Tribolium castaneum: one gene and its partner. The main gene of each other region encodes a partner of the protein of the gene in region 2 in a complex. Links are inferred from orthologs where the notes say so. Each region holds a gene or a part of one and is shown on either strand. Other genes may lie near its edges. The genes, in order: Rab3GAP1 and Rab3-GAP.

Region 1 (3,916 bases), on a different chromosome or scaffold from region 2:
CGGATGTACTCGCTGGACCAGCCCTCCACCCTAATCGCGGACGACATGCGTTCCCACTTCAGTACAAAAGGCACGAAATCGCGTTCGATAGCCGACGGACAATCCCAGAACAGTTTTTCCAACCACTCTGGACGCTACTTGAACGCATTTCCCAGTAACTTAATAACTTCGCGTCAAGGTAAATTATCCCGAATTGAGTCTAAGTATTGAGTTTGTTATTGCAGATTTGCGCCAATCGAGACAGTCCTTGACCATGCAATCGGACAGACTGTCGACTCGTGGACCTAGTCACCACGCACCGACCCATTCCGTGGCGTCCTCCAGACGCTCCAGACCCAGATCCCGGTCCCGGGACTACAACAGGCCCAGTAGCCGGTACAGCACGGCTGGATCGACTCACACTTTAAACAATTATTGCGACAATTCCGACAACTGGACTGACCACGATATGGACATTTACATGGCGAGAAACCCGACCACTAGGAACGGTCTCGTACCGCTCTGATTTAGTTGCTCAATGTGTTCGCAAGGAATGATTCAAAAAGGCTGTTATTTGATTCAGACAATTCGCAACAGCACGACTGATAGTAGGATCAGTTAACAAGTAATTTTAAAGATAGTTACTAGAGAATAATGATAATGTATTTTTATATTTAAACGATATTTCTCTATTTATATGTTGACGGAAGTATGAGTTTATTTTGTATATAACTTTCGCAAAATTAAATAAATCTCTTAAGTGACTTACCCTGGAATTGGAATGCTCTTCTCCCATCTGTACCTCATTTCTTGGGCGAATTCGAACCACAGGTGCGCAAAGGCCCGAATGCCTCCAAGAGATTGCAGAGCGTGGCCCAAGACGATTGACAATCGCCAGATCAAAGAGTCAGAAGGGCATGTTTTGAAGCCTCGACATTCATAATCGAGATTAAAAACGTTCTCTTCCTGAAATATAAACCAAACACTCGAGTGAATTATTTACCAATCCCCAACTACCAGAACATACAGGTGTCAATAATTTTGAATGTCAATTAATTTTGTGACAGTCAGGAAATGTCTTTTAGGCATTATTTCGTAAATTCTTTCGTTTAATGATTGTCTCGCGTACGAAAGCATACGCTTCTTTAACTATATGGCCTATAATATGTAAAATACACATCTAATTTTGAAATTATTGCAAATAACACAAAAATTTACGTTACAATTTTACGAAATTCAATTGTTCCTGCGATAACCAGCTATTGTCAACTATGAGTGCATAATTTCCAAAAAATATTAAATTTTTTTTAGTTCTTTTATTACATGTTTTTTTCTGCTTACTACAGTAATTACTAATTAACGTATTTTTAGTACAATTCATTATAATATTGAAAATTACTGTAATAACATAAGAACACTTATAATTCATTTCAATTTTGTGGCTTATTTTTGACGAAATCTTTGAAAATAACTGCTAAACATTGTGAAAACGATGAATTTTAAAGAATAAACTAAATAATACGATATGCTTAATTGTGAATCGTTTTTTGCTAGCTACTCTATTATTTTAACAAGACAATAAAAAGTAGTTAAAAGTTTGCTGCAAAACAGATGCTTACAGTCTGCGGTGGATTGCTGGGGTTGCTATTGAACATTTCCTTATAGACATGTGGGGAGTCTTCCTCCGCGTCGGGAAATAAAAAGTACAGAATCGGCACTAAAATCTCTTCAGACAGAGGTGCCACGCCTCTCCTATTCTTCGTTAGCGAATTTCTTGCCGCTCTAGTGAGTAAACTTGAGATTGTCGGTACCTTGGGCTCTGTTAGTAAATCCAAGGGATTGCTGACATCAGCGGCTGCCGTTGCTGAAGACGCAAACTCGCCCAGGACGTCGTACGTCGAGGACGAGTTGTTTAATAAGTGTAAAAACTCCGTCAAACATTCCCCAAGCAAACAAAGCGGTTGTTCGGCGGTCGTGATCAACATTGTCCATTTTGCGGCCAACATCGGGTCAAAATCGCTGTAACTTTCGCTGTCTCTGACCGCACGGTGGTTTAGATGCGACCACGAAGTTTTAAGAATTATTGACTCGATTGGGTCGATTGTTACGCCAAAGGGGACACTGCATACGTCTGTGCTATCGAAGTGGTCACTGTCGGAGTTTATGTAATCCTGCTTCCACACGAAATTACCAAAGTCGGTTAAAGTGTAGCTTGATTGCAAGGAAACCATTATAGTTGTCATCGTCATGGGGGAGAGGATTTTTGATTTGAACATTTCCAAAAGACCTGACAAATACTGGTACAGTCGCGGGCTTGTTTTCAAATGTACCATCTCCAGATTGGTTCTTATGGATTCAGACTCGTAAACGCCCAAGTAGCAATTCTGCCACTTTTCTCTAATTTGCACAAAAATCGGGGTTTCACATTTCGAGTTAGCTGACGCAACGTAGACGGAACTTAGCAAGACTTTGATCCTACTTTCTGAATTTATTCCAAAATTTCCGGAGGGACTTAGGACTATGTACTCGTCAATGCCGTACCACTTGCTGAGACAGGAGTGCTCAACTGTGTTCTTAGAATTGTAGAGCTCAAAATCGTACATGGTGTCAAAAGGGTTCTTTTTCTTGGTTTCTTCATTGTCTTCGACTTTGGACAATGTGGATTGTTTTCTGAGAAAAGTTAACTTGAAATCGACGTCAACGAAAGACAGGTTTTCGCTCTTGATGCTCCAAATTTCGCCAAACAGTTCAGTATCTGCTGCCTCGTCCTTTAATTCTTCTGTCTTCCACTGGTTTATAATTTCTTCGATGCGCGCAATAAAAATTTCCCATTCGGAGGCTGTTGTAAAATCTTGGTGATAAAATTCCGTTTCGTCAATTTCCTCGTTCATTTTTCTAACATATTTTTTGCAAATTACTTAAAAACATAACCTAGAACGTAGACGTCAGTTTTTATTTGACATCAAATGGGCTGCAACGCCTGCAACCAACAATACCGATCCTTACAGAGTGCTTCATGTAAGTTTACTAATGAAAATAAAGTCTACATTATTTACGACATTTAATTAATCAGATCTCGTGTTAAAACATACAAAACTGAAGAGGAGAATATTATATAGTTTAGAAAAACAAAGTGATAAAAATAAATGATAGCGGTTTGTTCACTTCAGCTGGACCATAAACCACTGAAAAAATCCGATGATTGCGAACGAAAAAGATAAAGGGAACCATCCAGCTTTAATCCACGCCCAAAATGTTAATCTAGAAAAGCATTTAGTTTGTAGGCACAAGTCAATCTAGAATCGTACTCGTATGGTTCGTCCGATTCATAAAAGGCCTGAGTTTTAAGCAACCCTGACCGAATTATGGTCACATCGTGTAAGGGATGATTATCAGTATCAGTTTTCAAGTGTTCTATTCGGTGAACAACGTCCTGACCTTTCAGGACCTGTAAAACACCGTAAAATAATTTATTTTTTGACTGTAAAAACGGTTTAGACCTTTCCAAATGCAACATGTATTCCGTCCAACCACGGAGCAAACATTGTAGTTATAAAAAATTGACACCCGTTCGTATTGCGGCCTTAAAAAGTATTTTTAAGTGATAATTACACTTTTTGAGAGTTATGCCTACCACCATTTGCCATACTGACGATCCCTGGTCCATTATGTTTCACTGTGAAGTTCTCGTCTTTAAAAAATCTTCCGTAAATGCTAATTGAACCCGAACCGTTATTATAAATCAGATCACCACCTGAGTGAAATATTATTATTTACTATTACATTATTTATGATTATTAATAATAGACCTTGAATCATAAATCGTTGAACAACGGTGTGAAACTTTGTCCCCTCGTACGTTTTACCACCAATTCCGTTTGTTGCAATCTGTTTAAAGTTTAAAACAGTGTTGGGCACAATCTCCCCAAAGAGCCCA
Region 2 (3,916 bases):
GTTTCACAAACAGGTAGAAATTCAACAAAACACGAGTATTTTCCGCAACGATTCGTAAATTATCCGCTTCCGGCTCGGAACTATCTATGAACAATTGAACACATTTTAGGATAATCTCCGCGGGGAGATTGTTATCGCTTTGTAGCAGTTCTAAAGTTTGCAGTTTCAACTCAACGGTTTTGATTTCCGCGCTAATTTTCAACGTCTCGCTCTCGAGCGTCTCCCTATCACAATCACTATGTTTCAACAACTGTCTCAATTTCTTGAACAGGTGGATATCACGAGCCCTTTTATTATTTTTCTCACTTAAGGCGAAATGAAACGGGATTAAGACCTCCTTGATTTGGCCGTCGTTGTCAATTAGAACAGTGTCAAACTGGCAGACAAACCGCGACTTTGAGGTGATTGTGAACCCCATGAGACCGTAATTGTTGTAAACGAGACGGCTGAACTTCGAGGCCGAAAAGGTGCAAATTTTTTGGCCCTGTTGCACCGTGAAAATCTCAACGGTTCCTTTCTTTGACGAGTAAATCACGAGAAACAACGCGACTTTATTCCCGATCCTGTGCTTTGAGTGTCTTTCGTCCGGGACTTGGATGAAGGAGCACTGGGCCTCCCGGTAGCCTTTGAAAATTCTCAAAGTGACGCCTCGGAACGCATCCATCAAGATCACGCGTCCTAAGGCGTCCGACACCGCTGCTAATTTATGATCTGGGGATAGGACGATATTTGTGGAAATGCGGCGCAAATCGCAGAGGCCGAAACGGCAGCCCATGCTTTCTGCAGGCTGCATTGCCACCGTCATTTGCTTGTCCACTGAGGCCTTATTCCCCGTAAGCCAGCCCCTGGGGATTTTCCGCAGTTAAAGACCAATTAAGAAAGTAGGGCCGAGCCAAATCAAGATTTTCGGAACCAGAAATAAATAAGGAAACAACTAAATGTGAAACTATATTGCAAACATGCCATCATTTCCTTGTCACTGATAAAGCTGAAATAGATGTAATAAAAGAAACAAAAATAACATAATAAAAAACAGTAACTAAATATCGTCGGACAGTTACACTCGCAGTTCAATAAGAAATCTGAAATCAAAGAGAGTTATGAAAGATGCTCGTAAAAAACTAACACTTTTCAGGTCTGTTTTGTTAGACTTTTCAGTTGTCTCACGAAATTTTGCGTAGTCGGAAATGACTTTTTATTATATTCTGTAAAATTTGGTCTGTTTAGGCTTGGCTCGGCCCTGAATAAAGCTTGCAATAAAATAAACAATACTTAATTTATTTAAAAATACTGCCTAATAATAGTAGGGCTTACGGTAGCGCAGATTTGATTTTGGTGGCGACGGCTTTGGCCACGTCGCTGAAGACGGGCTGGGGGCACCCCTCCAGCGCGTAGTGGAACCCCACAAAAGGGCGCGAGCCCGCGGCCAAGACAAGGTTATTGTAGGGGGCTTGCGAGCGGTATTTGGTGTCAAAGCCGCCACAGGTTGAGGCTGTAAGTAGGTGGTCAAAAGTCCCGTGCAAATTAACCCCAACCACCGCGATGTCGTTGATGGTGGCCTGGTCCTGGAAGCCCCATTTTTTGGGGGCCAGATTGCCCTGAGTCAGCTCCAAACTATCGCCTTTGGCTTGGACTGGAAACTTTGTTTCACTTACGCAAAAATCGCAACTGATTGTACCTTTAGCCAAATCGCTGCGGCAAGATCTCAAAATCGGAAATAACTGGTTTCCTGAAATGACACAAACCGTGCTTTGGTATTGTACGTAAATCTCCTCAGGGTGCAGATCTGGGGCAATGTCAGGCCTTGGGTTGTGTTGGCTCCGACATTTAATACTCGTAATTACTTCATTGTGAAGCTGTTCCTCTAATAACAGCTCGCAGTTTTCGGTATAAAAGCGTACAAAACCTGACTCGAATCCTAGCAAAATGCAAGTCCAATCAGGGACAATCTGGAATGGGTTTTTTAGGGAAAAAAGTAAACTTGTGGGGGGAATTACATGTGAGCTTTTAGTCTGGCTTACAACAGGAACACAAATGACTGATTTAATGTTGTCACTTTCATGCACAGAGCCGGAATAGGTGATTTGAAATTGACTTAGTGAGCTACTAGTATCCCATTTTGAGGTCAAAATAACAAGTCTACGGTCATTTGCGAGTGCAATTACATCACCCGTTGGGGAAACCGACAATTCGCACAACTGCAACCAGCTATCAGAACCTGCAAGAGTTAATTAGGCTTTGTGTACGAAATTACAAAAAATTACCCCTTGAATCATCAGTTGGAAAAAGACACCTGCGTATCGCGGGAACGTCCGCTATGTTGGCCGTCACATTAATTTGGCAAGACATTTTCGACTAATTAGCAATTTTTTAAAAAACCACATTGAAAAACAATCAGATTTGACAAGTAATCGATGGGATGGCAAATGGTAACACGGTATTACAGGTTTCTGTTCCGCTTTTACAGTTTCCGATATTAAGTTTTCTAATTTATATCGCTTTTACGTGTTTTTTCAAGCACAACTTAATTACTTGATGCATTAGCAACTTCAAGTCAATTGATTTGTGCGTTTTTGTGACTAGTTAAGGCCACTTTTTGGCTAAAATCCATCGCGTAGTTCGTGCTATTGTCGCGATTAGCAGCACCAACCAACTAACCTAAAGCACAACTGTCAGTGGATTGTCAAGTGCTTTGTTGATATTTTTTGTAAATAAAGCGTTTAATCAACAAAGGGCATGTCCAACATGACTGCACCCAACAACAAGAAGGTACGCCGTGTCTACGAACGCGGTTTCCCTTCTGACCCCAGTTTTTCCAGCACGCCAGCTCAACCGAGAGCTCCTCCGGCTCAAGCGACTCTTCCAGCTCCAGCTCTTCGTCAAGCGGTTCCGACTCGTCCTCATCCAGCGATAGCGAATCGTCCAGTTCGCAAGAATCCACCAAACAACAATCCGGATCCGAATTAAAAAAGAGCGCAACGATCCAGAAAAACCCGCGCAAAAGCTCAGACAGCCTCAAAACCGGCACTTCCAAGTCATCAGACCCCAAACCGGCCCCTAAACCCAAAACCCAAGCCCCCAAAACCGGGAAACAACCGGCCAAAACCACCATCTACTCGTCGGAAGATGACGACAAACCTAAACCTAGCGCGAAGCGCAAAAGCACAGCAAAGCCTAAAAGCAGCGCCACGATCACGCCTAAAGCCGCCACTAAGCCGCTGCCTAAACCGGCCGTTAAAAACGTGCAAAATAAGGGCGCCAAAGGGAAGGAACCACCGAAGAAGGTGGTCGGGAAAAACGCAAAGAATGATTCCGCCAACAAGAAAAAAAGCATTTTCTCGCCGGAAAATAGCTCCGAATCCGACGATGCGGCCAAGAAGAGTCGGCCGAAGCCCGCGCCACCTAAACCCCGGCCCAAGGCTGCGGCCAGAACGGTCGAGAAGCCCAAACCTGTGGAGAAGAAGCCCGAAAAACCGGCGCCTAAATCTAAGGCCGTGGTCAGTTCTGCGAGTTCGGCTACGTCCTCAACCGCCTCTAGTAGCAGCTCTGATAGTGAGAGTAGCGCCGAATCGTCCAGCACTACTCGGAAAATGAGCGATAAAAAAATTACGAAAAAAACTTTGGTTGCTGCCAAAGATCGAAATGTGTCTGATTCGGAGACGGAAAGCACGAAACAAGTCACTCGGAAGTTGACTCGCTCCGCTAGCACCCGAAAATCCAAGCATGTTTTGGGCAAAAGCGTCTATTCCGACACGGATTCGGACACCGAAAGCACGAAAAGATCGCTGAGTCGGTCCCCCGTCAAGCGCGCCCCAGTCACCACAAAAGGCAAAACCAAGAACAATAAACGCAACGACGCCAAGTCGCGAGCCGAGGAAATAATAATAATCGAGGAGCGCAAATGCCCCCTGGAAGG

The links.
Region 1: the proteins of Rab3-GAP (region 2) and Rab3GAP1 are in contact, whole or in part, in a cryo-EM structure (PDB 8VYB), measured with the Homo sapiens proteins. The link is inferred for Tribolium castaneum from reciprocal best matches to the Homo sapiens genes RAB3GAP2 and RAB3GAP1. Residues at the interface, in NP_036546.2 of Homo sapiens: Arg197, His198, Pro199, Gly200, Ser276, Pro277, Phe278, Asp279, Met281, Lys282, Ser285, Asn286, Ile287, Gly289, Phe290, Asn291, Ala292, Ile294, Arg377, Phe378, Gly379, Leu380, Pro381, Asp382, Arg385, Cys395, Thr397, Leu398, Arg407, Arg415; in NP_036365.1 of Homo sapiens: Thr19, Ser21, Trp23, Glu24, Glu142, Ser143, Asn146, Leu147, Leu149, Ser150, Ser153, Ile154, Ile169, His170, Trp173, Arg174, Met176, Arg187, Asp189, Glu191, Met192, Val193, His194, Leu195, Arg196, Pro199, Tyr202, Ile211, Ser214, Lys215.

The regions. Positions count from the first base shown.
Region 1 is NC_087398.1:6,845,142-6,849,057, reverse strand, and holds the start of Rab3GAP1 (rab3 GTPase-activating protein catalytic subunit), read right to left. Parts: upstream 2,956-3,916; 5' UTR 2,871-2,955; coding exon 1,599-2,870; intron 946-1,598; coding exon 749-945; intron 745-748; exon of another isoform or gene 506-744; coding exon of another isoform or gene 225-505; intron 179-224; coding exon of another isoform or gene 1-178. Other genes in the region: haf (leucine-rich repeat and fibronectin type-III domain-containing protein 5), read left to right, coding at 1-178, 225-505; uncharacterized protein LOC103313103, read right to left, coding at 3,141-3,240, 3,288-3,427, 3,480-3,562, 3,614-3,733, 3,789-3,916. UniProt on the Homo sapiens protein: Catalytic subunit of the Rab3 GTPase-activating (Rab3GAP) complex composed of RAB3GAP1 and RAB3GAP2, which has GTPase-activating protein (GAP) activity towards various Rab3 subfamily members (RAB3A, RAB3B, RAB3C and RAB3D), RAB5A and RAB43, and guanine nucleotide exchange factor (GEF) activity towards RAB18.
Region 2 is NC_087395.1:21,700,922-21,704,837, reverse strand, and holds the start of Rab3-GAP (rab3 GTPase-activating protein non-catalytic subunit), read right to left. Parts: upstream 2,452-3,916; 5' UTR 2,350-2,451; coding exon 2,265-2,349; intron 2,219-2,264; coding exon 1,998-2,218; intron 1,950-1,997; coding exon 1,679-1,949; intron 1,634-1,678; coding exon 1,315-1,633; intron 846-1,314; coding exon 1-845. Other genes in the region: chm (histone acetyltransferase KAT7), read left to right, coding at 2,737-2,769, 2,820-3,916. UniProt on the Homo sapiens protein: Regulatory subunit of the Rab3 GTPase-activating (Rab3GAP) complex composed of RAB3GAP1 and RAB3GAP2, which has GTPase-activating protein (GAP) activity towards various Rab3 subfamily members (RAB3A, RAB3B, RAB3C and RAB3D), RAB5A and RAB43, and guanine nucleotide exchange factor (GEF) activity towards RAB18.